Linked DNA regions of Oryza sativa Japonica Group. The protein of the gene in region 4 interacts with the protein of the main gene of each other region in a biochemical or structural test. Links are inferred from orthologs where the notes say so. Each region holds a gene or a part of one and is shown on either strand. Other genes may lie near its edges. The genes, in order: protein TIFY 9, protein TIFY 10b, mitogen-activated protein kinase 1 and transcription factor MYC2-like.

Evidence for each region.
Region 1: the proteins of transcription factor MYC2-like (region 4) and protein TIFY 9 form a complex in vitro, tested with the Arabidopsis thaliana proteins (2 studies listed by BioGRID). The link is inferred for Oryza sativa Japonica Group from reciprocal best matches to the Arabidopsis thaliana genes MYC2 and JAZ10.
Region 2: the proteins of transcription factor MYC2-like (region 4) and protein TIFY 10b form a complex in vitro, tested with the Arabidopsis thaliana proteins (3 studies listed by BioGRID). The link is inferred for Oryza sativa Japonica Group from reciprocal best matches to the Arabidopsis thaliana genes MYC2 and JAZ1.
Region 3: of the proteins of transcription factor MYC2-like (region 4) and mitogen-activated protein kinase 1, one has a biochemical effect on the other in vitro, tested with the Arabidopsis thaliana proteins (2 studies listed by BioGRID, with this or other methods). The link is inferred for Oryza sativa Japonica Group from reciprocal best matches to the Arabidopsis thaliana genes MYC2 and MPK6.

What each region holds. Positions count from the first base shown.
Region 1 is NC_089038.1:19,857,113-19,865,096, forward strand, and holds protein TIFY 9, read left to right. Parts: upstream 1-3,121; 5' UTR 3,122-3,167; coding exon 3,168-3,288; intron 3,289-3,406; coding exon 3,407-3,597; intron 3,598-5,109; coding exon 5,110-5,197; intron 5,198-5,321; coding exon 5,322-5,376; intron 5,377-7,353; coding exon 7,354-7,465; 3' UTR 7,466-7,771; downstream 7,772-7,984. UniProt on the Arabidopsis thaliana protein: Repressor of jasmonate (JA) responses. Interacts with and suppresses RHD6 and RSL1 transcription factor activities to negatively regulate jasmonate-stimulated root hair development.
Region 2 is NC_089041.1:25,569,482-25,577,510, forward strand, and holds protein TIFY 10b, read left to right. Parts: upstream 1-3,602; 5' UTR 3,603-3,860; coding exon 3,861-3,993; intron 3,994-4,131; coding exon 4,132-4,282; intron 4,283-4,802; coding exon 4,803-5,065; intron 5,066-5,173; coding exon 5,174-5,231; intron 5,232-5,327; coding exon 5,328-5,457; 3' UTR 5,458-5,863; downstream 5,864-8,029.
Region 3 is NC_089040.1:2,967,697-2,975,763, reverse strand, and holds the start of mitogen-activated protein kinase 1, read left to right. Parts: upstream 1-2,510; 5' UTR 2,511-2,662; coding exon 2,663-2,907; intron 2,908-2,994; coding exon 2,995-3,124; intron 3,125-5,681; coding exon 5,682-5,819; intron 5,820-6,878; coding exon 6,879-7,211; intron 7,212-7,542; coding exon 7,543-7,723; intron 7,724-8,067. UniProt on the Arabidopsis thaliana protein: Mitogen-activated protein kinase (MAPK) which regulates abscisic acid (ABA) responses in a MAPKKK20-MKK5-MPK6 cascade involved in root growth (e.g. root cell division and elongation) and stomatal response.
Region 4 is NC_089044.1:23,545,538-23,553,679, forward strand, and holds transcription factor MYC2-like, read left to right. Parts: upstream 1-3,818; 5' UTR 3,819-3,933; coding exon 3,934-6,033; 3' UTR 6,034-6,537; downstream 6,538-8,142.

The DNA.
Region 1 (7,984 bases), on a different chromosome or scaffold from region 4:
CACATCCGATCGATATATCCATGCTCTCACGTTCCGACCTTATCTCACCTCACGATTAGTGGGGCGAAGCCATAATTTATACTAGCTGAAACCCTAACCCCGCGCATTGTAGCGGGATATTTTCTTGAGATTGGTGGCTGCATTTGGTAAATTGAAGTGGTACAAAAATCCATCACTATTGAATTGGTCCACGATAAAATTAGATGGGCCTCCCGTGGTGACGGTGTGAGATGGATTCGGCTGTGTTTTTTTCATCCAACGGTTCAAAGATGATCGAATCTACTGATCCAACAACTGAGAATTAATGATGATGTGACACATTGAGGTTTGAGCTTTAGGATCTTAATTGCACTTAGTGGGTTATAATTTTATAGTAAGAAGGGATAAGAGTAGAGGTAAACTAGTATATGTTTTTGTTTTTCTCTAAAAAAAATTTGAAGAGTAATCTCGATGGATATTTGAGCGTAGGAGTAGGGCTAGAGATAGTGGTATTTGAACCTACTGAAGATGATGAAGATAAAGATAAGTGTTTCACGTAAAATGATGTGGTAATAACGTGTGATTAATTGAGTTTTAATTATTACAAACTTAAAAAATAGATTAATCTAATATTTTAAAGCAACTTCCATATGAAAAGTTTTCGCACGAAACACACAGTTTAGCAGTTTGAAAAGCGTGTCACAAGTATCCAAAATTTCATCAACTTCTATATCTGCATATGTGTGATGTCACCCTCGGTTGTCCACCCATGCATATGATGCTTGATTGTCGATTGCATGCACGCAAGGGAGCTACCATATCTGATCGCAGCATGTCCAGCGACAAGTTAGAGTTTATTTACTCAATCTAATCTTAATTTCTTAATCTAAATATAATCACCTTAATTTCTTATGCGGAAATAAATTGATTCATTGACCTTGATGTGAAGCCATTTAAGCCGATGATCTAATCCTTTTATTTTTCTTCTTCTTCTCTTTTCTTTTTCTTCTTGCGACATACATCACGAATCCTTTCCAGTGATAAAATTGATCGGGCGATTGAATTAGGGCTTTAGGGTAGAGAGGATTCGGTGAAGTCGCCTTTGCCTCTTCTCCTCTTCCTAGACATAAGGACATTAGTGGGGTCCGGGGGTTTATTTCCAAATAAATTTAAATCTATTTTGTACGATCACACATAACAGATTTTATCTCTACTTTATTTCTTGTTAGGAAAATAAAACCGATGGAATTTAATTCTTTTCCTAACTAACCAATAATGAATTGATAAAATCAACCAACATGGCCATCAGGACGAATCAATTGACCAAATCCTAATAGCCTTCCCTGAGTCGCTTCAGTTCTAGTGATTGATCCTCAACACTATTGGGCAACCTTATTTCCTGGTTACGACGAGTTTTTCAATAGTTTGGAGGTGTGGCCGTAGAAATTAAATCAACAAGCATCGACACCATTATTGTTTTGATAGCATGGTCGATTTGTAATTAAAGAACACAATAATATATAGGAGTCTTCAATCACTAATAATGCTTTTGTCCAAAGTGGTGACTGGTGAGCACGACAGTTTAAGCTGTTTGGGTGGGAGGGCCTTTCACAGAAATATAAGTCCCTCCATTAGTTTCTCTAAAAAGAACATAAGTTTCTCTAGAAGGACATGTATTCCTATCCCTCCATAGGGATTTATATTTCCGTAAGAGGACTAATAGAGCATAAGAGCTAGGCTGCACGGGGGTCCTCAGCTACCCGCGGCTAGCTAGCACACATAATGGTTGATAGTCGGTCGCAAATCAATACCACAAGACATAGGCCTTGTATCCCTTTTCGATTCTTTTCTTTATTATTGTAACTTGTTGTACAACTTATACATATATTCTCTAAAATATTTGTTGTTAAATGGCTAAATAACCGAATGATTTATGATAATTAAACTGAGTGGGCAAACAAACGAATAAATATATTATATTTTTTATCTATCTATACCTAATTAAAAAATCTATAAAGCTTCCGGTAATACTTTTTTGTCCGTCTTTTTTTCTCTTTTCTTGGCTGTTTTTTCTATCTTTTTTTTTCTTTTCTTGCTGTTTTTATTTTCTGATCCTTTTTTGTCCGTATTTTTCTCCTCTTTATTTTTTTCTAGTTTTTCCCGCAGCAGTTTTTCTGCCGCCGCCTCGATCTATCTTCTTGTACCTTTTGTCCTCTTATTGATTGTAAAAATAGATCCCTACTCATTTCTTATTATTTTAATTTCCTTATGATTTTCCCTTACAATTTGGCTTTAATTCACCGGATCTAATCTCCAGCCGCCGCCTGGGCTGAACCCTAACTGCGCCATCACATCGATCTACCTCCCCTTACGTTTTCTCCTTTAATTAATTGCAAAAATTGATTCCCCATCCTTCCCTCATAGTTTCCCCCATGATTTTCCCTTTCAATTCGGTTTTAATTAATTCGTTGGATTCAATCTTCGTTTAACTGTCACCAATAATGACCGACCGACGAGCTTCCCCATTCCATTTTTATCCAGAGTTTTACAGATTTGCTCTGTTTTTGGGAAACAGAAAGAGGAGATCGAGTGAATCAAAATCCCTTGGCCAGGGAGATCAAAAAAGAATCAGCTGGATTTTTATGGGAGGGCACACAAGGATTCTCTCCCGAAGGTTCAAGACGGTATACTGAATGACATTGCCAGCTGTGATAACTAAGTATTTGTGGACTGGACGAAAGAGAGGCAAGCCGAGCAGGAAGAGATAGGAGACATCAGACTGTGCTAGGGCTAAAAAGGAAAAAAAAGTAATGAGCTTTCGGCTCAAAACGAAGAAAAAATTTTGATTAACATGTTTTCAATTATAGTGTATAGCAATTATAATGTTTCAAGCTATTGCTCAGTTCATAATAGAGTTGTTATACCACTAAGAAAAATGTATTTACCTGTTGCAACGTATTGATATTTTTTTCAAGTTAATCATAAAAATACATTAGCGTTTGTAAGCTTTCTAAAAACGTGCGGGTTAATCCATCGTTTTCATTGGTTAGAAAAAACGAATGGGCGCGGGGCCTCTTTTTTTTATACCCCGCGCGCACCTCCCAACCCAACAAACACCACATTTTGCAGCTGCTTCTAATCTATACGTGTTCTAGCTAAGCTAGCTAGCTAGCTCTCGTTCTCCGGCCATGTCGACGAGGGCGCCCGTCGAGCTCGACTTCCTCGGCCTCCGCGCCGCCGCCGCCGACGCCGACGACCGCCACGCCAAGAGCGGCGGCTCCTCCGCCTCCTCTTCCTCCTCCATCCGAGGTACGTGACGTGACGTCTGTCGACGTCGCCGTCGATCGATGATCTCATCTCACCGCCGCCGGCTAGCTCCGTGTCCCTCTCGATCGATCTGAGTCGATTGCTTGCGTTGCGAGAGCAGGGATGGAGACGAGCGCGATAGCGAGGATAGGGCCCCACCTGCTGCGCCGCGTCATCGCCGCCGCCGGACCTCCGCCACCGCCGTCGACGGCGCCGGTGCCGGAGGAGATGCCCGGCGCCGCCGCCGCCGCCGCTCCGATGACGCTCTTCTACAACGGTTCAGTCGCCGTCTTCGACGTCTCCCACGATAAGGTGTGTAATATACATGAGTAAATTATATTGGTAGTATATAAACTTGTTAGCTGGATGCAACTTAGTGAATAAACTTGTAAAATGCTTATTTCGATGCATGAACTTGTCTAGTTCGTGCGAACGAGGACTAAAATAGCTTGGCAATGTTCGTTTTATAAAGCTGATGTTGATTAGGATGTGACGTGCATATGTGTAGTGAGTATATATAAGATATGCAATATTTATAAATTTCGTCTCTACTTTATTCTTCATCATGGAAGTGATGAATTTCATATATTTCTAACCCTTATATCATTGCTTTTTTTAATCTTTTTTCTACAATCACTATATCCATTCTATTTTTTACTAAAGAGGTGTATTTCTAATAGCAAATCTTCACGTATATATGTTTACATGGTATCCTAATGAGCCCCTAAATTAATAAGATTAACCAGGTAGTGTCCTTTTTCCTTCCTCCGCACGCACCAGACAAGTTTATGCACCAAAACGAGCATTTTACAAGTTCGTGCACTAGATTGCACTCACCTGACAAGTTCATGTACCGGCGATGCAATTTACTTAATATATATTTATCGTCTAAGTTAATTAATCACAAATTATTAGGAGATTATCCGCGATTAGTTAGTTGTTAACACAGTAATATTATATTAATACTGTCGTCGGAGATAGAACGGCCAGCGAACCGGGGCACCTGTTGAACACTTGTACCTTCACCTTCACAGAACGCGTGTGATTACAAAACTAACGAAACTCGGCGCGTTACTGCTGCGAGAATTATGTATAAAAATATTATAAATAATACCCCTTTTGTTTTTTATTATATGTGATATGCTGTTGACTTTTCATTGATCATTCATCTTATTAAAAAAATTTATGTAATTATCATTTATTTTATTCTGATTTGATATATCATCAAATATTCTTTAAACATGATTTAAATATTTTTTATATTTACATAAAAATTTTGAATAAAACGAATGGTCAAATATTTGTAAAAATTCAATGGCGTCATATATTAAAAAATATTAAAAAATGGAAGTAGTATGTAAGATAGCTGGATGATTATTTACTTTATATAATTTTCATCTTTGATTGATCAATAAAAAATTATAAACAATTAAGATGATATGGTTTATAACAATTTAAAACATTCAAAAAAAATGAAACTAAGGTGATGTGACTTAATAGCAAAACAAAATAAAGGGGGATAATATAGATTAATTACCCAAAGACAAAACTACGATGATATGACCTTTCCTAGGAGAAGAAAAGTCTGTCCATTAAAAATCATACAGCGTTAACATAGAATTAATTTACAATCAAAATCATGGTGTAGGATCGAACTGCACCAAGTCTAAATTAAAAGAGTTCTTGTTTTTCATGCATGATGGCTGGAAGGGATGCGCACAATGATATACTATCTCCCTTAAATTAGCTTGATAGTGGTAGATAGTACAATTTCATAGAGATACAATCTTCTCAATGCTTTCCCTTTCCATATTCCATCCCTAGGCAGAGGCTATAATGAGGATGGCAACCGAGGCAACTAAAGCAAAAGGACTCGCTCGTGGCAATGCAATTGTAGGCAATTTTGCCAAAGGTTTGTTAATGTTAGTAGAATTGTTGCGAAAAGTAATCAGCAGAACAACAAAAATATGTTCTTTTTTAATCTGTTTTTTTTCCTGTGGCTTATAGTATTGTTCTTCAACTCTTCTTGTTTGCAGAGCCACTCACAAGAACTAAATCTCTGCAACGATTCCTCTCCAAGAGAAAAGAGAGGTATAGACAATGCAATTTTCATATATTTTGTTTGTCACCTAAATACACATTTTTTCCTACTCCCTGCGTTTCAAATTAATTATTATTCTAGTTTTATCATAAGTTAAGCATTTGTATTTTTTACCACCAATTTCCAGAAGTTTATATAATTTAACATCATAAGATTTATGTTTTGTATTCACTATGAGAAAACTTTCACAATATATAATCACATGTTTTTGCATTATTCAAATTTTTAGATATCAACGAACAAAATAGAAATATTTGACTTAGGACAAAATGAATGTGAAGTAATTAATTTGAAAAGAAAAGGAGTATGTATAAGTACATAGAAATAATGATTTGATCAAACCTTTTCAAAAAGAACTCAATTACACTTAAATAAAAGAGTATTAACATTTTCATTATTTCTCTCTCTAATTGGAATCTTCAGTGTGAGACTAGCTATCTACCTATAGTTGTATACTGTGGAAGCTCATGGTAGCTAAAGCTACCACATGGTGAGCTGACCGGAGACCCCAGAAGCCGTGTGGGCCCGGATGAGCAGTGCCCATCGACCTCTTACAACCACGTTTTAGTCGTGACGAATTAGTGCATGGAAAGTCTATGGGCTATGGATCATATCGACATGTGTGTGGAGGATAGCAAGTTTGCATATGCAATATCTCGATCGATTTGGTGATGATATATATATCGCAATGAAATCGATATATGGGGGCTGTACTACTTCATTGACCAACTAGCTACCGAATCAAATTAAGACTTATCGCAGCTAAAGAAGCAATAAACTAACTGAAAGCAAAGATATGTCTTTGACCACACCACACGCACATATCATTAAGGCTTTGATTTGATTGTGCTTTAAAAGATCGGTTTGGTTCTGGTTGTGTGTTGGCTAAGGTGGTGTTTGGATACAGGACTTAACTTTAGTCTCTATATCTAGACACTAATTTAAAGTATTAAATATAGACTACTTATAAAACTAATTACATAAATGAAAGCTAATTTGCGAGACAAGTTTTTTAAGCCTAATTAATCCATAATTAGAAAATATTTACGGTAGCATCACATAGACTAATCATGGATTAATTAGGCTCAATAGATTCGTCTCGTGAATTAGTCCAAGATTATAGATGGGTTTTATTAATAGTCTACATTTAATATTTATAATTAGTGTCCAAATATCCGATGTAATAGGAACTTAAAAGTTTTAGTCCCATCTAAACATGGTCTAATTCGTTTGTCCCAGACTTGAAAAATGTGGCACTGATTTCTCTTCCTTTCAAATATATATATATATATATATATATATATATATATATATATATATATATATATATATATATATATATATATATATATATATATATATATATATATATATATATATATATATATATATATATATATATATATATATATATATATATATATATATATATATATATATATATATAACCATTAACTTTTAAACATAACATTTAACCATTCTTTTTATTAAAAAAATTAGTGTAAATACGATGAAAAATAGGTAGCCTTTAAATTATCTTCAACAACAAAATTAAGCCGCAACAAAATAATATGATACCTATACAGCATTTTAAATAATACAAATGATCGATCCAAAAGGGATCGAATAAGTGATACTTAGATAGTTTTTCAAATAAGACACATGATCAATTCGAAAGTTAACATCATCATATATTTAAAAATTTAAAAATTGAAGTTAGCCAAACAAACAGGTGTAGTAGGGTAGTGTAGTAAATTGTTGGCTAATTACCATCCTGCTCAACGACGTTGCCAGTGTCACTTTCCATCCTTTTGGGGTAGCTAGGTGTTGACCTAGTTAATACTCCAATAATCACCACCAAACCTAGCTACTTTGTTACCCACTTTAACTAACGAATATATATATATATTTTGCATTGCCTTTTTCTTTTCTTTTTTTTCATTACTAATTGATATTGAAACGTGCAGGTTGACCAGCTTGGGTCCGTACCAGGTGGGTGGGCCCGCTGCCGTCGGTGCGACGACGTCGACCACCACCAAGTCTTTTCTTGCGAAGGAAGAGGAGCACACGGCGTCCTAGCTAGCCTCCTAGCTAGCTAATTACTGTTGATTTGGTCCCCTTGATTAATCGTTTATTATTAATAATTATTTCATTGATTCCATCATTAGTAGAGGGTACAGACCAGGCAGGGGCCAGTTAATAATCCTGTTTAGTGTTGATCGATCGATAGATTAACCATACTCCATATGTAGGTCTGTGTGTAATATTGATTTATATATATAGTAGTATCTATAGTTGATTACAAGGTCATGGATTTTATGGATGTGTAAAGCAAGCTTAGAGTGAATATTGGATGCATTTATGATTTATACTATGTAGTTGTACAAATTACTCCATCCATGTGCCTGAGTTATTTTGTTTTTTTAGACTGAACATGTGCTGGGAACGAACACCCATATTATTTCGCTTATGATATGCTTATCTGTAAGGTTTATTAGTAAATAAAAATAATTCATGAGTATTCAAAAGTAAATTAACTCTAAAATTAAAATTTAAAATTCAAATTAACTCTAAAATTAAATTTTAAAATTCAAATTT
Region 2 (8,029 bases), on a different chromosome or scaffold from region 4:
ATTTCGAAACGGAGGGAGTAATATATAACCTTTTGGTATCTTTCGACTGTGATTGAGTATGATATTGAAATTTAATATTTCTCCAAACACAATCTCCCCTAAATCTCATATTGTTTTTATATATAGAAATTTTCAACAAAAAACTTGAGCTTGTTTTACATGGATATTTCACCGATTCGCATATATGAAGTTTCAAAGAAACTTGAGTTGACTTAAAGCACATTTCAGGGAGGCAGTTTTAAGACCTTAAATGGATATTGTCCTGTTGCTCCTAAAGTGCCATGTAAATACTTGAATACGTTGATACAAAATGAACCTATTATTCCCACACACACAAAAAAGTGCACCTATCATCTGAAAAATTCTACTCCAAATTTGTTTTACCACCCACCATCACCAAAAAAAAAAAAAACCGTTTCACCAACTGAGGAATTATACATAACCGATTTTGTTTGTCTATGTTAATATGTATAGTTTCAAGCCTTATGTTAGCCTCCCTTGCTTAATTCTACACTTAAGCTGTGTTCGTTTTAGGAGGATGGGAACTAATACCTCCCGCACGGAAAATAGAGCGTTCCAGTAGCGCTTGATTAATTAAGTATTAACTATTTTTTTAAAAAAAAGAATCAATATGATTTTTTAAGCAACTTTCGTATAGAAACTTTTTACAAAATACGCACCGTTTAGCAGTTTAAAAGCGTGTGTGCAGAAAATGTGAGTGGGGGAGTTGGGAACGACTACTGGAAACTAACGCAGCCTTAACACCATCCCAATAACCTAGACCTCTACTTGATCTCCTATATATTTTACTTGAATGAATAAATCGCTAGCTACACTAAATGGATCGATCTGATAGATCCTACACCGACAGATTGATTGAGCCCTATTAGCCATGTGTAAGCAAGCAACCCTTTGAAAATCATATATCAAGGACTTGCAAACTGTAGCTAGGCTGTTGGGGAAAGGAACATCGATATCCGACAACGATATGAGATGAAAGCGATGCTAATTGTAATTTCCATGAGGTTGGAAGAGAGCAGGAAGTTTCAGCTTGACAGGCACCCCCCCCCCCTACATCCCTCCAAAAAGGCTGTTAATTTAGGCCTCAATCACGTTCATGCACTTCATAACTTATTATTTCACCAAAGTGTTGTACTTAAGGTTAAGGACACAATTTATTGACTAATCTCTCTGTATTATGTGTTGGTGTTACTTTCCTTTAAAGTACAATATGGGATGTGTGCACACACATGCGCTACACTCACACCACATAAATTTGGTGAACATGCACCTAGTGGTAATTCTTAAATTTGAAGCTACACTATTTAGCCATCTGGCAACAAAGGCACCTACACGTGATTTGGTGTTTGATTCTTTACTATTAACAACTGTTACATACATTTGTCAATAATCACACATGCATAATCAAAAAGTTCTACTACCTCTATCTCAGAATAATTACATTTATATCATTTAACATTTGTCCCAAAAAATTGTATTTCTGCGAACTTGGGATCCAACCTTCTTTTTAATCAAGTTTAAGAATGGTAATTATGTGGGTTTATGGTCTTAACCTTCTGTCTGTTTCACATTATAAGTCGTTTTGAATTCTTTTTCTAATCAAACTTCTTTAGATTTGATTGAGTTTGTAAAAGAATTTAGCAACATCTCAAAAAACTCAAACCTAAAGAAATTTAACTAAGAAAAAGAAAGTCAAAATGATTTATAATATGAAACAAAGTTATTTAGACTTTTCCACTCTAAAGTAAAAAGAATAGGCACGCAAAAAAAATTACTTCATCCTAACCTAGATTCAGAGGCGCCTACTGTAAATTAAAATGTCCGGCACATAGAAAATTACTTTGTATCCTCACCTAAATTCAAAGGCAACTATTTGGATCCGAAAGTCTGACAGAAAGTATACGGCAATGTTTAGATACACAAAACTTTCTAGTCACTTTTACGATGAACACGATCAGGTAAGTTCCATCCTACCTAACCTTTTGTACTCTACAAGTACCAGTCTCAAAGTACATTCATCCTACCCATGACAACCAATCCAACACTTACATTTGTTGGCACTTGGCAGCAAAACCCGACCTGAAAAATTAAATTAAAGCCAACCCAAAGCTGCTGCTACTACTAAACCACTATCAAGAAATTCAAGACGGATCATGGATTCCCCCCCAGCCAGGTGTAACCGGGTCGGGTCAAACCCAAAACCAAAACCCGACCCGACCCGGATCCGACACGTCTCGCGCTCACCGCCTCGTGCTGCATGTACCGACCCGATCGATCGCGCACATGGGGGGCGCGGGCCCCACCCGCAATTAAGGAAAAGGGCGAAAAATCGCTATAAAATAAATCCGGAGAATATTTAAAAGAGGAGGGGGAGGGGAGCAGTCGCGGTGGGGCCCACCACCCCCTCGCTCCGCACACGAACCACGTGCGGAATCCGCGCATTTAGTACTCGCATCGTCCCCCCCAGCCCGCGAAATGATACCGAATTGAATAAAATAATATTTAAAAGAAGAAATCTGTTACTCCGTTCCAAAATACAGTTACTTGTAATAACAAAATATTCTTCTATAGTAAACCTATTTATCCATCAATATCCTTCTAACCCATCACAAAGTTCACAACCCTCGTCCATTTATTTCATTCATCTTATTTTTTATCTCAACAAATCATAATATTTCTCCAATAAATTTTACTTACTTTCTTAATACCTACTACTATGTCTAAAAAAAGATAAACTTTAGCTACGAATCTAGACACGCATATATTCGTAGCTTACATACGTGTCTAAATTCGTAGCTAGAATTGAATTTTTTTTAAGACGCTAGGGTACCATCTATCTATTTTATAATTATTTACTCCATCTGTCTCAGAATATAACAACCAATGATTGATGGTGTTCATCATCTATCTATTTTATAATTATTTACTCCATCTGTCTCAGAATATAACAACCAATGATTGATGGTGTTCATCATTGGTTGCTATATTATGAGACAGGGGGAGTATATTTCTAGAACAGATGTAACTCCCTTCGTTCTAAAACGTAGTACTCTTATTATGATATAATAACAAAGTTGGATAGAGATGAATCCAGTGGTAATAATTGAGATAAGGTAAAAGGTAATTTATAAGTAGTATTTTGGAACGAAGAGAGCAACTATTTTCTCCATTCCAAATTAAATTATGGGATAAACATATCGTAATAATACTATAAATTTAGACATATTTGTATTACTACAATATGTCACATTGTGTTAGATTAACTTATTCCAGTACGGAGTACTCCCTCCGTCCCAAAAAAAAAAGACACCCTGGCTTCCATGCCCAACGTTTGACCGTCCGTCTTATTTAAAAAAATTATGAAAAAAATTAAAAAGACAAGTCACACATAAAATATTAATAATATTTTTTTATTTAAAAGAATTATAAAAAAATTTCATACAAGACGGACAGTTAAAGTTGGACACGAAAATATATAGGGTTTGTTTTTTTTGGAGGGAGGAAGTAGGTAATTAGGAGAAGAAAAAAATGGGAAGAAAGAAAATCCGCGAGGTTAAATTGAATCGAATTGAGTGGTGACCAGAAACCGCAGCGGCTGCGTCGTCTCCGTCTCCTCTCCTTGCTTATAAACGCTCGCGCACGAGCCTCTCTCTCTCTAGCTCTCGCTCTCGCAGCTCAACCACTAGCAGCAGCGGCAGGAAGGCGAGAGGAGGAATCGGAGGTAGCTGGACGGCGGCGAGGCGACGACGAGCCGGGGTGGTGCAGCAAGAACGGCGCGGCGAGCGGCGGGGAGGAGAGATTGGATCGACGCCGGGTAGTTAGGAAGGGAGCTTGGAGAGATGGCGGCTTCCGCGAGGCCCGTCGGCGTCGGCGGGGAGAGGGCGACGAGCTTCGCCATGGCGTGCAGCCTGCTCAGCCGCTACGTCCGCCAGAACGGCGCCGCCGCCGCCGAGCTCGGCCTCGGCATCAGAGGTGAGGAGGAGAAGGGAAAAAAAAAAGAACTCATCCCTTTTTTTGTGGGTGTGCTTCGGCTTGGTTGGATCTTCATCTTCAGCTTCGGTTTCGTGTTGAGATCTGATCACAAGGTTTGGGGTTTTGGTTCGGTTCCAGGTGAGGGTGAGGCTCCGAGGGCGGCGCCGGCGACGATGAGCTTGCTGCCCGGGGAGGCGGAGAGGAAGAAGGAGACCATGGAGCTCTTCCCGCAGAGCGCCGGCTTTGGCCAGCAGGATGCCATCACCGCCGATTCTGCTGCTGATGCTAGGTATGGGGCCATGCCACTTGGTTCTCTGCTTCATTTTTGTGCAGTTCCTGCTCCTTAGGTGTATGTGTGTGTGTGTCCTAGTTCTTGGAATCACGCAGAGAAATGACAAATTTTGCAGTCTACAAAACTTAGCTGTAAGTGCCTCAATAGGTTGAAGCCACTGTTTTTGGTATCAAATCTAGTTGAGGGGAGAGAGGGTTATGAGTAAACATTTTGTTGTTTTTTGCTTTGGGTTCAGATACTAATTGGAATTAGGCAAGCAGAGTTACTAGGTCATTCAGACTTCAGGGAGTTGTTAATGGATCTATAAAAACTTTACCTATCTTTGTTAATAGAAAATTTTAACCCCAAACTTAGGGTTTTTTTTTTGTTTAAACTGGGGCACTGAAAACGTAGTTTCAAAAAGAACCCTTTTTATGCTTGCCGGTGAAAATAGAGTTAGTCAGATGGTGCAGAATTGGAGGGGTGATATACTGGTATCCCAGGTGTTCATAGTGTTCTCTGTGCAAATGAATTTCAGGGAACAAGAGCCTGAGAAGCGTCAGCTGACCATCTTCTATGGTGGGAAGGTGCTCGTGTTCAACGACTTCCCAGCCGACAAGGCAAAGGGCTTGATGCAGCTGGCTAGCAAGGGCAGCCCGGTGGCTCCTCAGAATGCCGCGGCACCTGCACCAGCAGCTGTTACAGACAACACCAAGGCCCCTATGGCCGTGCCGGCCCCGGTCAGTAGCTTGCCTACAGCTCAGGCCGATGCTCAGAAGCCTGCTCGCGCGAATGCTTCTGGTAATTACTCTGCCCTTTCTTGATGTTCATGTCTGTCGGGGTATTGAACGCATAACCAGTTGAATTTTGTTGTAGCAGTTATCAAGTGACCTCTTTTTTTCTGTGTAGATATGCCTATTGCTAGGAAGGCATCACTCCACAGGTTCCTTGAGAAGAGAAAGGATCGGTAAGTTGTTTTGCTGTGATGATTTGCATGATGTTTAAGTTCAGTATTTTGATCACTGCAGTTCATGGATCTAATATGCGCCTTTTGTTGTCACAGTCTTAATGCAAAGACGCCATACCAGGCTTCTCCTTCAGATGCAACCCCAGTCAAGAAGGAGCCTGAGAGCCAGCCATGGCTCGGACTAGGGCCGAACGCCGTCGTGAAGCCCATAGAACGCGGCCAATGAGGTTGCATGGAAACTTCACCAAAGCTCTTCAAAAATATATGAAATGCGCTTGCCGTTAGAGTACCAAATCATATATGTTCTCTCATACCCCATGTTTTAGTGTTTTTTCTTTAGTTCGTGCTTCTATGTTGTTCACTTGTCACATAGTTCTGAATGTAAAGGAAAAAGGTAGTAGCATTGACGACCAGTGCCGAGAGCCTGAGAGAAGTTTTGGCATGTTAACACATGGTGACTCTGAAAATGGCCATGCTAAGGTAAAAAGTTATTGCAAAGGAAACATATATGTATCTTCTGAAATTCTGATCATCTGGCTTTGTCCTTGGCTCTAGCCTTGCTCTATGCAAAGCAAAGTGATTGTAATGGATTCAGAATATAATTCATATTCCTATTGTTGATTTCTGTTACATGGCTTATTGGCTTGGTCCTCCTCCAATATGTCTGCATTATTTGGTCCCCATTATATGTGCCTGCAGAGTCAATTTGCTCTTGGACTTTCTTTTTTCCTTTTCTTGACGCGTTTTCATTTTTTCTTAAATGCAAACCTCATTATTTAGCATAAAATAATAACTACATACACAAACTACAAACTAATGGAATATTTGATGTTCCACAAACACAATTATTAGTGATTGCCTATGAATCTTTTCTGTTTTGTAGCTATATATTTTATCATCATGCAAAGGGGATACAGGGCAGCACAGGAGGCAGCCTGGGGTAGGTTGGATGGCACTGTCAAGCTGAAGATAAGGGTTTTGCGAAGGAAGGTGCACAAGGCAAGACTTGTCACCCCATGCCCAATTCTTTAATCAAAAGATATGAGCACATGTGAGAAATTGGGGGTGGAGATGAGTTGATAGGATTCTTGTTTGACAGCTAAAGCAAAGCAAAGCATGAAGAGCAAAACAACAGGAAGCTGTTTGGAAATTGCAAAGGGGGGGGGGGGGGGGGGGGGAAGAAGGATGCAGTGACCGGGAGTCTCTGCAGTACTGTCGATATGATAATAGCAACTGACATGTGGGATCGGATCCACCTGTCAGTGATTGCTACTGAACCAATTGTACTGCGGAGGATCCATGTCCAGTATGCATACATGATACGGAGTACATACATACAAAAGACATTTTTCAGAGAGAGATGTTTGTTGGACGCATGGGAGCCCACAGTGAGCCAAGTTGCCTGCTTTTTTCTCCTTTCTCAACTTGTTTGTATTATACTCCTAACAAAAGGACTTGATGAACTAGTGCTCACATTCCTGCAACTTGCTGTCTACCAATTGTCAAATCTTTTGATTAGTTTTTTCTCTTACAGAAGATTTTGCATGCCATTCTCGATCATTCCTTTGTGACACAATTTTGTCAGAGAGCTTGTGTAACTCTCTCTCTTTACTCTTCACTGAATCAATTTCAAATTCAGGAATCCAGCCAATCTGGTCAGACTACTTCTGTTCCACGAACCGATAAAATTAACACATCTTGGCAGCTTTACAATACCTTTTTTTTTTCTTGCAGGCTTCTGCCTTGTAATTTACTCATTGATTTGCCCGGTTGATGCATGCACGTACTACCAATCGTCCTTTGTGTGTTTGAAGAATTATCAAAAGAGAAAGATAACAACAAAAAGGCACACCATGTGCTCAAGCTGTTCATGGTTACAACTAACAAAATCCGTGTGCCGTCCTCTGTGGTCCAGGAGACATGCTGCCCTTGTTTCCAGGATGCAATTGCTTGTTTAATCCGAGGCACTAATGATGGGTTTATTGGGTCCAGTAATCCATTATCCATCCAGGTCAAAATTCAGAGCGTTCTTCAGACCACACGGCCACATGGGGGGCATGAAGTGGACTGCAAATGGCAGCATGGACCATTTGAATCGAGCTAGCTGTTCATCATCTGATGGATGAACCAACGACCTACCGATGATTCAGTAGCTACCAAACAGTGGGAAAAACGAATTGGCTGTGTGACTTGCAACAGAAAGAATCCTTGCAAGAAAGAGACTGCCTCAACCTTGTCTAAGTTCTTGGTTGTGTTCTTTAATTTCTTCTCACGCAACTGTAGTGATGGATTTAGAGTTCATACCCGCACGCAAGAATGAAGAAAAAGAAAGAGAGGGATCTTGACAATCGTGGAAAACCGACCGAGAACCGCTCATTTTTCGTGAAACCATTGGTTATCTGTCGTAAAATCCGAGCGGTTTTAGCTGGTTTTTTACGAAGTTGACTGAAAGTGGTGATTTTATCGGTTTCCGGTAAACCAACAGGTATCGGTTTTTACTTCGAAAACGATAACGTAAACCCTGGTGCTACTTTGGAACACCATGTGTGTAATTGGTTTTGGGGGAAAAACTTGAAAAGACTGAAAGACATTGATTCATTCTGAAGCCATTTTAATTATTTTCAATCTGAAAAAACAGGGGGAGCATGGTAGCTATCCGGAGGCAGGGGGAGGAATCTGTCCATTGCTTGCTGCTCCTTTTTATTTCAGTAACTTTAGCCCAGGTCCATTTCATCACATGCTGATTCTTTAGAACTTTAGTAATATAATAATATGCATAGTATGATGATGAATTGATA
Region 3 (8,067 bases), on a different chromosome or scaffold from region 4:
TATATTTATCTAGATTCATTAACATCAATATAAATGTGGAAAATGCTAGAATGGCTTACATTGTGAAACGGAGGAAGTACAACATATAAATGATCTGCTTGGCTTGTCAGGTTCCAATATTTCTCACAGGGTCGCTGTTTCTCCGATCTATTATTTTACAGGGTACTACAGGTTGTGGATTATCAACAATGAATGGGATCCAATGTGCAGGTGATGATTTGTCAGGTTGGCAACTTCCATTCAAAACTTTGCGGCTACATTTTTTGGTTATCTGGATGAGTTGATTGTAATGCCGTGCAATGTAATCATCAAAACCTGTGGTGGATACAACTGGCAGTGGGGTGTACAGTTTATTTTAAGGAGGGGCAGCCCTGATTGCAGATCAATTCTTACGCACGAAGGATCTTTCAGTAATACAACAAGTCTTTTTCAGTGCTATTGTTTTGTACTGAAAATTGTCCATGGTCAGCATGAATCTGGATAGATTCTAAAGAAGGATTACCGGCCATCTTAATCCATTTCCTTTTGGTGGTATTCGTAGCTGTGAAGACATACACTAGAATTATACAAAGTCTTCTCATCCAAACTCTGCAGCAGGGTTATAATTTCTTCTTCTCCTGAGGCTCTACTACCAGAGATATGACAATAGCTTCCTGCATTGGAGGTTTCCTTGAGCTTCAAATAATTCATGGTACTTATAAACTCTTTTAGCATAAACTCTCATTTTTATTTGTTAGACCTGATTTGTATTATAATTAATATCAGTGTGTTTGCGGAATTAATTATTGTCCTGTTAACTTTGTTTCCATAAAGATGCTAGAACATCATTATTTTATCTATTGCCCTATCATTTCCACACCACTTGCCTCATATATTCCAAATTTCCAGCAAGTCCCTAGTATCCATAAAAAAAATCCTAATTAATCAGGATTGCAAGACTAGATAATGTTTTGTTCTTGTCCTTATATTGAAGCATTCATCGCAAAGAGTTCCTGTCCATAGCATTCACTGTCACATTCACCGGAGGGTAGTAAAATTCTAAGCTCTGGTTCATCAAACTTTGCCTAACTCATGGTACAATTTCCTTGGAGGATGCTAGCCGCTGGCAGGTTATCTATGCGTAATTCTACATCAACACGTGCCATTGGCATTTAAAGTAAGCAGTAAACAATGTTATTAGTACTGATGCTTATTTCTTTATCTCCACTGGATCAAGAAAAAACACCTTTCTGTCTCAATCATTTGTAGGAGTATGAAGTCTTCGACGAAAAAAAAAAGTGTTGGTAGAATGACATGAGCGGGAAGATATGGCGAGCAAAAAAAAATATGGAAGAAAATGACACCATTATCTGGCGCTAGATAGCATTCGCCGCCCTCGTGTTTGGTGTTGCTGAAGCAACCACCTTAAGCAAGGATAATAGTAAACTATAAGTTTATATGGAGAAGGAAGACAAGAAAAGTACAAAGCTCTAGTCATATGCTTCAAGGTACATGCACTAAATACATAAGCAAGAAAAGGTGAAGACAAATGTTATAGCCAATCTTATACTTGTAATATGAGTTTATAAGTAGTTAGCTCTACCATTCAACTTGAGTAAAGTGCATTGGCGGTCCTTCATCTTATAGGGTTGTGTTATATAGGCCTCTAAACTCTCAAAATACATATCTGAGTCACGTAACTTATCAAAGTGTATCATCTAGATTCTAAATTGACACATCACCTCTAGGATCCTACGTGGCGTTGATGTAGCATGCCACATGGACATGATGTGTCCTTTTCTTTTTTTTCTTCTTTTATTTTTCTTTTTATTTTCCATTTTCTTCTCATTCTTCTTTTTTTCCTTTTAAATTTGTAGCCAGCTGCAGCACGAACTCTAAGACGCAATGTGTATATGACAAGTGAGATCATATATTAATAGTGTAGTATATGTTTATAGGTAACTATTGTATATATTGGCTATTAAAGTAACTATAGATAATTTGGAGCTAGTAGTTGGTTATACTAATCTTGCTCTTAGAGCAGGTACAATAGCAGGCTATTAGCCAGCTATAAACATATTTTAATGAGATAAAAGATGAGAGAGAAGAATAGCGGACTTAGATCTGTAGCCAGCTGCAACACGGACTCCAAGACGCAGTGTGTGTATGACAGGTGAGACCATATATTAATAATATAGTAAGCAACTATTGTATGAATTGACTATTATGTTGGCTATAGATAAATTGGAGTTAGTAGTGGGCTATACTATTAAACTTGCTCTTATGGGTGTAAAGGTACTAGGTACAGAGGTAGTGTTCCCTCACGCTGTCGTCACCATGACACGTCATCAGTCGTTAGGGTCGGCACAGCATCTCCATTTTGCTACACGTCCCCCCACACCCACCCACCCCAAAAATGGGCCACGCCTAGTACCCGTAGCCCCGCGTGCCAACCATTTTATACCCCGGTGGGCCACCACCCCCACCTCCACAGCCCAAGAGAAAACACACGCGAGCACACACACACCCACACACAAAAAAAACACACACAAAAAAAAAAGAGGCGAGAGCTACAAAACGAGGCCGAAAGCGACCAAATCTCGCGACGAATTCCGCCTCCACTTTCCCTTCCCTTCCTCCTCCACCTCCACCTCCTCGTCGCGATCCAAATCCGAATCCGGCCATGGACGCCGGGGCGCAGCCGCCGGACACGGAGATGGCGGAGGCCGGCGGCGGGCAGCAGCCGCCTGCTGCGGCTGCGGCGGCGGGGGCGGGGGCAGGGGCGGGGATGATGGAGAACATCCAGGCGACGCTGAGCCATGGCGGGAGGTTCATCCAGTACAACATCTTCGGGAACGTGTTCGAGGTCACCGCCAAGTACAAGCCCCCCATCCTCCCCATCGGCAAGGGCGCCTACGGCATCGTCTGGTTCGTTTGCTCCCCCCTCTCTCCCATTCCGTTGGCGGCGGCGGCCTGATTTTGGTTTGGATTTTGGATTTTGGGTTTGGATGACAGCTCGGCGCTCAACTCGGAGACGGGGGAGCAGGTGGCGATCAAGAAGATCGCCAACGCGTTCGACAACAAGATCGACGCCAAGCGCACGCTCAGGGAGATCAAGCTGCTCCGCCACATGGACCACGAGAATGTCAGTGCTCCCGATCCGCTCCATTGTTTCGACCACGGAATTCCCTTCCCCCCCACCCACCCTCGATTTTTAGGCGCAGATTTTGAGATTCTCGTTGAATGCTCTTGTCTCTGGTTAGTTAAGTTGGTTGCATTAAATGGGGAAAGGAGGAGGAGGTGAGGGTTAGGTTACCAAATGATTGAGTTCGTCACTGCTCGGCCTAATTTGGTAGAGCTTTTCCCTCCATTCTTGCTGCTGATGATGAGTGCTGCGAGCTTCAGAAATAGAGGTAACTTTGGAGATGCCTTTAAAGAAGCCATCTGCCTTTTGGGGATGTTGTTATTCATTGTGTTCTTGAATAGTGGGGGAGCGAGTGATGTGAACAGACCTGACCTGGAGAGTAGCAACATCACATGATTCTCGTACGTGCTGATGTCACAAGCCACAACTAGCTTGAGGAGGAGGAGGAGGAGGAGGAGGAGGAGGAGGACCAATCTGGTGTTACACCTTTTTCCTAAGTCAGTCAAATCCAGTCTGAATGCAGTGGGAGTGACTGCCAGTGGGGAGGGAATTAGGGGATAGGAGTACTAGGAATTGTGTTATTGTTGGAAAGTTTTGAGATTGACTTTGTGTGTGCATGTTGGACTTGGACCTTTGAAATTTACCAATTTAAAGACTGACTAATAGGAGTAGCCCACTGTTGTATTTCCTGCGTAGGCCTGAAGTATCATTTTCAGCTTACCAGAGGCAACATATTTTTTCTATGGTTAGTGGTAGAAAGACAGCCACAGGGGAAGTGAATTAGAGAATAGGCCATATCTTCATAGCCAGCCCTAGAAAAACTCAGCTTCTTCTGAAGAGGTGAATTAAATTTGGATGGTCATAAATATTCCGTTATAATTAAACTAGTGGATTTTCCCATGCAAATATGAGAGGAGCTAGATTTAAAATTAGAGTTATATTTTGTATAGAATTTACTGGTCAACCTGGACCGTTGTAATCTAGACCCACCACTATAATAAACGGGCATATATTTATCTTTTTTCCCCGATTAATGTCGTTATTCTAGGCTTCTAGATTGAACGTGGTGGCACCCTTTTGCACCCTCTTTATTATAACATAATAGATCAATTGATACTTCCCTAAAAAAGGTTCATACAAAAAGTTGCTCAGATACTGCTTTTGCTGAACCATAGACTGGTTGACACAGGCATACACAAATGCATGCTCATGCCTTTTTTTGGAAGTTTTTTCAAACTAAAACTGATCCATTTTGTTTGTATCCTACTGCAGAAAGAGAAGTGTTTAATTTCAGGTTTTAGTGCTCCAATTATGCAGGGGAGGCTTTTGGGAGTTATACCAGTTACGGGTGTTTGTAGAAAACGATCGGATTAGGCAAATTTTGGAGTAGAAGTCCTTAGATAATGCACCTGCTTTATTGCCATCAGCTAAGATTGTGTATCAAGTCAAATTCTACTTTTCAAATCTGGCTATAAATTCAATTGTATGTACGGAAAGTTGGAAACATGAGCTAAGATTTGTACATCAAGTCCAATTCTACTTTTAAAATATAGCTTGCACAAAAAATGGCTATTTTGCATTATTACATAAAACATTACTTCCAAATTGGCGATCCTGTATTCTGAAAGATGTATTGGAACTTTTTTTTTGTCATGTGCACGTGCTGCAGGTTGGCTGCAGACAGAAGGCAGCAGCCCGAGTAGCGATTTCTGGCTGCAGTATATTACTTCAATACCAAGTTATCATTTAATTATGAAGTGCACTAAGCTGTTGCTTTCTATGTACATGTAAGCTTATCTATGAGATAAAAAAACAAACAAACAAAAAAAGCCCGTGGTTAGGATGGCTTGCGGCATTCAGCTAAGTCGAGAAAAATGCCCCTGAACGTGGCACGTCACTGGGCATGCTTAACCTCACGCGGGGAGCACTCTTCTACCAGCATTAACGAGGGGGGATTTTTTTTGTGCAAAACCTGGGCTTGAGCCTTGGTCGGTGTCCCCTCTACCAGAGACTCTACCACTGTGCTACACACACGTTTGTTCAGCTTATCTATGAGATAAATTATTAGAATCCTCTACATAAGTTATTAGAATTATGCAAAGTCTCCTCCATTGCTTCCTTCTATTGATCTATTATATGTCCATCTTCGTCTAAAGCCCTTTACTAGTCACTATTCAAGTCATCATTAGCTTGCTGTTCATCCCCATTACACACTCTAATTTTCATTTTAAGGGAAATGCATGTTGGTCTGCCTCCTTAAAAAACCACCATGTTTGAGCGTTTAAATGGCAAAAACACTTGAGCTATAACATTAAGCCATCATGAATAAGATAGATCTCTTTGTCAAGTCATTTTCATATGGTATTTCCTGGTCCATGCAATATGTTTGTTCTTGCTTTGGTTGGTCTGGACATAGTTGATTTACTTATTTTATCTACTCCTATAAGATATTTGGAGCTGGTCTGTTGTATTTCACATATCCAGCAAGCTCTTGTGTTTGCACATCGATGCTCCAAAAGGCAATAACTTGTCTCAACTTCCTACTTATGTGATGCAGATTGTTGCCATAAGGGATATCATACCTCCTCCACAAAGGAATTCATTCAATGACGTTTATATTGCATATGAATTGATGGATACTGATCTGCATCAAATTATTCGCTCAAATCAAGCATTGTCAGAGGAGCACTGCCAGGTACCTTCTTCAAAAGAAAAACACAACTTTATTTCCACTTTAGCATTTATTTCATACAAATGGCTTTTCTGGTCTGCTTGGATTCTCTTGCTTGTCTAGGCCTCTGCTCAAATTGAGTTTTCAAGACCTAAAAAGTGGGAAGTATTGAAGTATGTATTGATGGTTTATAAATGTTTTGTGTAAGAACTATAAGGAATTTGGTACAAAAGGTTGAATGTAAAGCTTTTATGGTAATTTTGTATCACATTTTAAGAATTCTGCAGGTATGCATAATCTTTGAAATTAAGAAACGAATTTAGCGACCTACTAATATACCTGAACGTACCTTTGCCCTGCAAAGCATATATGCAAAGTGCTACAATTAGGTTATCTCAGTGCACCATTGATCATTGGATCAAACTAACGTTTTCTTTGGAGATACCATATTATTTGCTAACCGATATAAAATCGAATAATGAGTTGATTGCTATTTATCAGTAGACCACATACTGTTAGGAGCTGGCGGCAAGGCACCGCAGCTCCGAAGGTTGTAGCAGTGCTTGACGGGAGGGTGATGCCGATGCCCTCGCCTCCCACAAAGCCATGGTGAGGAGAAACAGAGAAAAGAGTGGCCTTATATAGGCGATTACAATCTGCTAATGAATCAGAACTAACTGAAACAAACCTCAAATCTTAAGGGATAACTCTTATCTAATGCAAGCAACAGATAACGGCGAGAACGACACTGTGGCGTGCCATGCACGCTCACCGAACTCGTGTTCTTGAGACATTCAAAGGATTCCCCACATAACACATTCAACGTGAGAAGGGTTCAATGCCCAATCACACTGGAGAGGTCTTGCTGTATTGCAGCTTGCAAGCTCTTATGATCAATGCTACAGATAGATCTCTCCCTTTCTTGAGTGGAACTCTAGAATGGCTGCCTCACCTATCTTTCCTTATCCAGATAACTTGATTGTGTTCTCTTGTATTTTCCTTGTGCATGCATCTACCATGTTCTGAGAAATAATACATGTTTGGTATAACTGTTCTTGCGTAATTCTTTACCTTTTTGTGCAGTATTTCCTTTATCAGATTCTCCGTGGCTTGAAGTATATACATTCAGCAAATGTCCTTCACCGAGACTTGAAGCCCAGCAACCTACTTTTGAATGCAAATTGTGACCTCAAAATTTGTGATTTTGGACTTGCTCGTACCACCTCAGAAACCGATTTTATGACTGAGTATGTTGTCACAAGATGGTATAGGGCACCGGAACTTCTGTTGAATTCCTCTGAATATACTGCAGCAATTGATGTGTGGTCTGTGGGCTGTATTTTTATGGAACTCATGGATCGTAAACCTTTGTTTCCTGGAAGAGATCATGTCCATCAATTACGTCTACTAATGGAGGTTAGAACACACTCTTATCTTTTGAACTTTATTTTATATTGAATTGATCAGGTTATGTTGTGTGGTCATATATTTAGCATAACTGGAGTACTGTTTTGGAAATATATAATATGTTGATTATCCTATGGGAATATGTTAAAACTAAGGAAAATGCAAAGAGGAGAGAATTTATGTTGCTCCAGAAGGTCCTGGCTTTCTGGCTGATATGCAGGATACTGAATTCTGAGTCATGGCTATTAATACAAACGCATTTCTCACTAGAGGATTTATATACTATCTGTTTCACATTATTGTGTGTTTGATTTTCCTATCATAAATTTCTTAATTGCAGCTCATCGGAACGCCAAATGAGGCTGATCTGGATTTTGTAAATGAAAATGCAAGAAGATACATTCGCCAACTTCCTAGACATGCAAGGCAGTCCTTTCCTGAAAAATTTCCACATGTTCATCCTTTAGCAATTGATCTGGTTGAAAAGATGCTGACATTTGATCCTAGACAGAGAATAACAGGTCAGTATTGGCATAGTATGTTTTAGTGATTTAAAGGGCATTTGAATGTTGTTTTTGCCATCTTATCTATCTTGCCAATAGCAAGTAAAAAATAGGCCTTTCTCCTAAAGAAAGAAAAGAGTGAAAGAAGCCTTTGAAAGCCCTCATAAACTATGGTTTTTTTTAACACCATGTCTACCTTTCTTTTAATCTGCCACTGGCCATTTCTAGTTAGCGTTTACCACTTCCTATCTGTTTTAAGATAGAAAGTAACAACTGCAGTGGATACTTAAATATATTTGTAGAGCATCTGTGCATGACTTCTATATTACTAAATCACATGCAAACCTAAATATTTTTTTTAA
Region 4 (8,142 bases):
CTTGAGGTCTTCTTCACCTACTTCAAGTATCGCTGCCACATCTTCTTCTAACGGACATTGTTGCTACTTTAGCACGGTGGTCCAGTTGCCCTTGAATTAGCCACCGACATTGCGGTTTGGCTTTCTCATCATTTTTATCCCTGACTTTGGCTACATCGACCACGACTGCTTTACACAACTCGCTCAACCACAGCTTCTTCGTGCCCTTAGATTTGGGTACCTCGACAACATCACAAGGATTATCGTTATCGAGCACTCTCATTAGTTTATTCTCCAATGACATGGATTTGGTGCCCCACCCAAAAAGGAGACCCAACTCCTAATAACCCTGTTAAGTGATAATTCAATAGCATAATACTCCCTCTATTTCTAAATGTTTGACACCGTTGACTTTTTAACACGTGTTTGACCGTCGTCTTATTTAAAAAAATTTGTGAAATATGTAAAACTATATGTATACATGAAAGTATATTTAACAATAAATCAAATGATAGGAAAAGAATTAATAATTACTTAATTTTTTTAATAAGATGAATGGTCAAATATGTTTAAAAGAAATCAACAGCATCGAATATTTAGAAACGGTGGGAGTATCTTACTATACCATTCAAGGCTAGTGTGGTTGGAGTATAGTCTGGATGTACGGGCGAAGCTAAATACCTGAGCACGAGCACGTACATAACTCATAAGTGGTTTCGCAGGTTCGTTATTTGGAGTGAGCGAAGCATTTTTTTTTTCCGACCGAAATGAAAAAAATAAAAACAGCTTGCATGTGCTCGGCATAAATCAAATATAAATTAAACAACACTCGAATTATTATTCATTTTGAATAGCGGTGTTGATCGATCATTCCAGTAGGGAAGGGCGTGGATAGGGACCTGTCCGGCACGCCGGCCACGCTACACCCACCACCTCCCATGTCGCGATTTTATTTGATTCAAATCACGGGGATTAATTTAAAAAAGCACAAGGGGCAAAAGCACGCTTCTGCCCTCGCTAAACACGTGAACATGGACGGCCCAGATTTTCTGGCAGGTTTTAAATGATAAGATCGATCCCCAACTAGCACAGTAGTTTATCATTCCTGTCACTGCCTCGTGGGCCTCACCTGCCTTTCCTGCACGTGGCCCAACTCATCGATCGGGTCAACGGTCAAATCGGGCGGCTGGGTCACTTGCTGCTAGCGACGACGAGGCTAGAGTATTTATATAAGCAACCCAAATCGTTGTTATATCTACTCTCTGCAGCCACATTTATTAGCCCAGTAGTTACAGTGACCTGAGTAACACCTTAAAATCCTAATTTTAAGTGAATTTTAGATTGGATTATTTGGGAGCTAAATTCCGTACTTCATAGGCTAAGTTTTTAATTTAAAATTACTGTATATATCCAGTTGGATGTAGAGGCACACTTCTCTTAAAAAACTCTCTGCAACCACATGTGCTAAGCTAGCTTAATTAGCACTAATACCACTCTACTTACACATGCAAACATGTTTATATTAATACACCGTACTATTTATATACTCACTCCGTTCGTAAATATTTGACGCCGTTGACTTTTTAAAACATATTGGACCGTTTGTCTTATTTAAAAATTTAAGAAATTATTAATTATTTTTCTATCATTTGATTTATTGTTAAATATACTACTACTATTCAAGTTTTTGAATAATATTTACAAAAGTTTTAAATAAAATAAACGGTCAAACATGTTTGAAATGGCCAACAGGGTCAAACGGGAGGGAGGGTATAGTAGCACAACTTGTGTGTTACGGCCCTCGTGGACGCACATGTACAAATATCTTCATCATGCACGGGCACGATAAAAAAGGTGCTTACTAGGAACAATTTACTTATTTTTTATTCTTCCTTTTGCACACAAATTTTTCCCCCCAACTTGTCTAATGTACTTTGTTGGAAGATATACAATACATATGTATGGTATGAGTTAAATATGCGCCTAAATTTGCCCACGTCAGAATGTGGAATGGTGTAACTAATGACTTGTGATGGTGAAACAAATTAACAACCCCTATTAGATAATAGTACTAGTGTACTACAATGAAAATGAACTTTTACCACTCTTACATCGATCTCTTTAAGAGCATTTATGCGCCGTAATTCCTTTCCATCTTAGAGCAAGGAACAAGGATAATAGCGAGTTATAAGTCTACTATAATTTTACGTGAAGAAGGTATATAGAAAAAAAAAGGTTAGCTCTCATACAAGAGATAGTTCTAACACGTGCCCTAACACAAATACATTAAATGTATCATTGAGATAAAGACAAAGAGAAAAATTAAAGCTATAACCTTATAACTAATCTATTATATGTGTTGGTTTTAACTTTTAATATGGACTATTTTTTCCATTTCAAATTGATCATCATCTTACGTAGATGTACCAAGACCAAAGGAAGCTTCTCTCGTCCTATATTTACTCCAGTAACAAACTTGGTGTATGCATCATCCCCATTATTCTTAGATGCATAAATCAATATCCATTTACTCTAATGCACAAAAACGAATATACTTAATGAATGAATGCAAATATGATATCATTTAGAAATAACATCAATAAAATTATATGATGATCAATTTAAAACGGATGGAGTAACAGGTAGCAGTGAGTTATACTTATGAAACTTGCTCTTATGAAAATAACATTGCTGTCAGTCAATTGATCTTTTTTTTATGACAATAGTACAAAACTGCCCGCAAGTTAAGGAAGGGGAAAATAGCCTTAAGGCTTGAGTAACTCTTGATAATGATAGAATTCGTCTTAAACTTAACCATAGGACCGCATGAACCTTCTGGGAGAAGCACACGTGATTTTATATTTTTCTTCAAAGGAATACGATGTGATCCACAAAGTCCTAAAAAGATTTAGTAGTAGTATAAAACATTGTCAAAATTCGGATCGAGCGAAACATATGCTCCACCACTGCCTCCTAACATGTAATGTAAAATCTACAAAGATAAGGGATCGTAAAACACTTCCCACGAGAGGAAAGCAGGGAGAGAGAGCATGGTATGGAGGGGAGGACGCTGACATGTGGGATCGAGCGAGAGCGGAGGCTGATTACCCGGAGGGAGGTTACACAAACAGGAGATAGGAGGGTGGTTGCGGCGGCTAGGCGAGCGATCCCATAGGCCCAAGCCACCATGTGAGCGCACCGATGATCCGAAAATCGCTCTTTCAAATTCTATTTTTTAATATATATTTTTAGATTATCATTATTTTATAACTATTTTTACTATAAATTATACTAGATAAATTCATCCTAAAGATGTCAAAATCTTTTATAAATTTTTTTAAGATAATTATAAAAAAAATTTATTTAAAAAACCTTCTGTTTTTTTAAATAAAGGTCTATATATAAATTCACGATATACAAAATGCATGCAAACTTTCTATTTATAAACTTTATTATGTATAAATACTCGTTATTTCAGGGAGGCTGAAAAGAAAATTAGTATATACTGTACTTTATTATTTGCAGTATACAAATCGTGGAGGCTAATCACGGAATGATGCGCATATGCATGATTTGTGTGGAAACATGCATACCACACGTTGATAGCGAAAAATAGGAATTGCGGGCGATTTAACATGGTATGGCTAAAAAAAGGAAGATGAGTGAAGCGGTGATGGTGCGGCTGGCGGACGCGCGAATGATCGCTAATTAGGAGTGTAGACATAGGAGGAGTGATAATACCGAAAATACCCCTGGACACTAAATATGATTTGATTTGAGTGATTAGCCATGGGACCCATGTGGGTTTTGTTATCTCCTCTCCTCACCACCAAAAATCCATTCCACCCCATACCCATCCCCACCTTTCCTCTCCTCCTATTCTCTTCTTCTCTTGTAGGAGTCCTCTTCCAAATCAAATCAAATCTAGAAGAAGAAGAAATCGAGATCAAATCGATGAACCTTTGGACGGACGACAACGCGTCGATGATGGAGGCGTTCATGGCCTCCGCCGACCTCCCGGCCTTCCCGTGGGGGGCGGCCTCCACCCCGCCGCCGCCGCCGCCGCCGCCTCACCACCACCACCAACAGCAGCAGCAGCAGGTCCTGCCGCCGCCTGCAGCAGCTCCGGCGGCGGCGGCGTTCAACCAGGACACGCTGCAGCAGCGGCTGCAGTCGATCATCGAGGGGTCTCGGGAGACGTGGACGTACGCCATCTTCTGGCAGTCCTCCATCGACGTCTCCACCGGCGCCTCCCTCCTCGGCTGGGGCGACGGCTACTACAAGGGCTGCGACGACGACAAGCGCAAGCAGCGCTCCTCCACCCCCGCCGCCGCCGCCGAGCAGGAGCACCGCAAGCGCGTCCTCCGCGAGCTCAACTCCCTCATCGCCGGCGCAGGCGCCGCCCCCGACGAGGCCGTCGAGGAGGAGGTCACCGACACCGAGTGGTTCTTCCTCGTCTCCATGACCCAGTCCTTCCCCAACGGCCTCGGCCTCCCCGGCCAGGCCCTCTTCGCCGCCCAGCCCACCTGGATCGCCACCGGCTTGTCCTCCGCCCCCTGTGACCGCGCCAGGCAGGCCTACACCTTCGGCCTCCGCACCATGGTCTGCCTCCCCCTCGCCACCGGCGTCCTCGAGCTCGGCTCCACCGACGTCATCTTCCAGACCGGGGACAGCATCCCCAGGATCCGCGCCCTCTTCAACCTCAGCGCCGCCGCCGCCTCCTCCTGGCCCCCCCACCCCGACGCCGCCTCCGCCGATCCCTCCGTGCTCTGGCTCGCCGACGCGCCCCCCATGGACATGAAGGACTCCATCTCCGCCGCAGACATCTCCGTCTCCAAGCCACCACCCCCGCCGCCGCACCAGATCCAGCACTTCGAGAACGGGAGCACCAGCACGCTCACGGAGAATCCCAGCCCGTCGGTGCACGCGCCGACGCCCTCGCAGCCGGCCGCGCCGCCCCAGCGGCAGCAGCAGCAGCAGCAGAGCAGCCAGGCTCAGCAGGGCCCCTTCCGCCGGGAGCTCAACTTCTCCGACTTCGCGTCCAACGGCGGCGCCGCGGCCCCGCCTTTCTTCAAGCCCGAGACCGGCGAGATCCTAAACTTCGGCAACGACAGCAGCAGTGGCCGGAGGAATCCGTCGCCGGCGCCCCCGGCCGCCACCGCCAGCCTCACCACCGCGCCGGGGAGCCTGTTCTCGCAGCACACGCCGACGCTGACGGCGGCGGCGAACGACGCCAAGAGCAACAACCAGAAGAGGTCCATGGAGGCCACCTCCCGCGCCAGCAACACCAACAACCACCCGGCGGCGACGGCGAACGAGGGGATGCTGTCCTTCTCGTCGGCGCCGACGACGCGGCCGTCGACGGGGACGGGCGCCCCGGCCAAGTCGGAGTCGGACCACTCGGACCTGGAGGCGTCGGTGCGGGAGGTGGAGAGCAGCCGCGTGGTGGCGCCGCCGCCGGAGGCGGAGAAGCGGCCGCGGAAGCGCGGGCGGAAGCCGGCGAACGGGCGGGAGGAGCCGCTGAACCACGTGGAGGCGGAGCGGCAGCGGCGGGAGAAGCTCAACCAGCGCTTCTACGCGCTGCGCGCCGTGGTGCCCAACGTGTCCAAGATGGACAAGGCGTCGCTGCTGGGCGACGCCATCTCCTACATCAACGAGCTCCGGGGGAAGCTCACGGCGCTGGAGACGGACAAGGAGACGCTGCAGTCGCAGATGGAGTCGCTCAAGAAGGAGCGGGACGCGCGGCCGCCGGCGCCGTCGGGCGGCGGCGGAGACGGCGGGGCGCGGTGCCACGCGGTGGAGATCGAGGCCAAGATCCTTGGGCTGGAGGCCATGATCCGCGTGCAGTGCCACAAGCGGAACCACCCGGCGGCGCGGCTGATGACGGCGCTGCGGGAGCTGGACCTGGACGTGTACCATGCCAGCGTCTCCGTGGTCAAGGACCTCATGATCCAGCAGGTGGCCGTCAAGATGGCCAGCCGCGTCTACTCGCAGGACCAGCTCAACGCCGCGCTCTACACCCGCATCGCCGAGCCTGGCACCGCCGCCCGGTAACTCAACTCTAGCGAGGAAACCCAATCGATATACTCTCTACTCTCCCCAAGCCGGCGTAGCCATGGCCAGAGCTTCAGGAATGCCAAGAAGACGACGAGACGATGATCAAATCATGTTGTTGTTGTAAAATTAAGTTTAAAGATCTGTGTTAGGATGGATGGATGGATGGAGAGGATGATTGATATCAACTCGCAACTCAAGCTGAAGCTGCTGCTGCTGATCGTCGTCTTGTTTTTGATACTGATAGCAGCGGTTGGTATTTCTTTTCTTCCTTTCTTTGTTAGCAGGAAGGAAGGAAGGGAGGAAAGAAATCATCGGCGATATGTTGGTCCTTGTTAATTACTAAACCTAAATATGATAGACTTTGTATATAGGATTTGGTATTGTACCATCATCATGCCAATGAACAAGGGAGGAAGGAAGGAATACAACATGTTGTGGTGTTTTTGATCTCGTAAAAAAAATAAAAAATGCAATGGATATGCTCTTTTTTTGCTTGATCAATCAACTCTATTATCTCATCAGCACTTTAATGTTTAGCAACTGCAAGCAAGGAGATGAGGAGGAATGGTGGTTGGTTGGTTGGATGGATAGTTATTCATCCTGTTCATGTCCTGCCATAGCCCGTAATGATCCATCTCTTCTTCAACGGAGAGCAGCACGGAGAAGACGACCTGCACACACATGATGGGGACATGGTCTTGCAGCACATGTGAGTTGGGTGGGTAGATCTCGCCATCACAAACAGGCAGTAGCACAGTACGATTAGCGACCGAGGGAGAACTGAGAAGCAAGCAAAAAGCAAAGTAGGAGCTGCTCTTCTTGGCTTGGCAGCACAAAAACGAAACAGACCAAAACAAAGCTGGATGTGCGTGTGAATGATAGATCATCAAAGCTAGGTTTAGGGCACCCGCAATGGTTATCTATATGCTCTCTACAAGATACCCATGTCAGCATATTTTCCTATATGGAAGAGATTAAATGAAGAGAGAGAGCAAATCTATCTACTAACTTGAAGATAGTCTATAGAAAAACGAGGCAATGCATTAGATAGCTATAGATACCTATGTAGATATACTATTGAGGTGGTTTATTATTAATTTAATTTATTATTTAGGTATATATGTTTTATGGAAAGCACCTTAGTGATGAGAGATAAAATGAACGTTGACATGAAGGACATGGCAGGCCAGGACCAACCAACCAACCCACCTCATCCATCCATCCATCCATCCATCCAACAAAACAAAGCAAATCAAACGCAACAAGAGAGATACTGTACTAGTACAGCAAAATAATGATAATTGATTTTTTAATTTGGTCCGTGGGATGGGGCAGAAAAATGCGTGGGTGGCGTGCGGCTTTTGTTATCGCGCATGTGACTCGTGAACAAACGGGCCATCGGTGTCGACAAAAGTAAGTATCTGGCCCCAGCTCGCTCACTCATCACTATTCGCTCTAATCTCCACATGCGTTTCAACATGTCTTGCTCCAGTAGCTCCTTTTCTTATTTTTATTTTTTTATTAAAATTCTTTGCCTGTTGAATTCTCGTAAGCAAACAGCAAAGACTAGAAAACTCCTGTTGTTTATGCTTGTTTCGGGTTGATGATTACGCACGTTTTCGTTAACAGTAAAATTAAACAAGTAATTAATACTAATTCTCTCAAATAACAAGCACCAGTGGTCTAGTGGTAGAATAGTACCCTGCCACGGTACAGACCCGGGTTCGATTCCCGGCTGGTGCAAATTCGTCTTTTTTGCCACGATTTCAGTACAAGCTTCGCTCAATTATTGGTATGAGCATGTGACAATCAGCTAATCTTGTCTGCTTCCATCTCCAGAAAAGAAAGCCGCCATCAATTTGGCACCCACTGTTGATGCCAGACTGATATCTTTGTAAAGAATGACGGTTAGTGTATTAAAATCCTATAAATTCGTTTAGACTTTTTGGATTAGCATTTCAGCATGACATTGACTGGTACCCCTAAATGTCAACCGACAACCGGCACAATTTGATTAAGCATCCATCAATTCATTTCTCTTCTAAAAAGGAGAAGGCAAACCGCACCCAAAATGAATCGATACACATTTTCAGCTTGCATATTCTA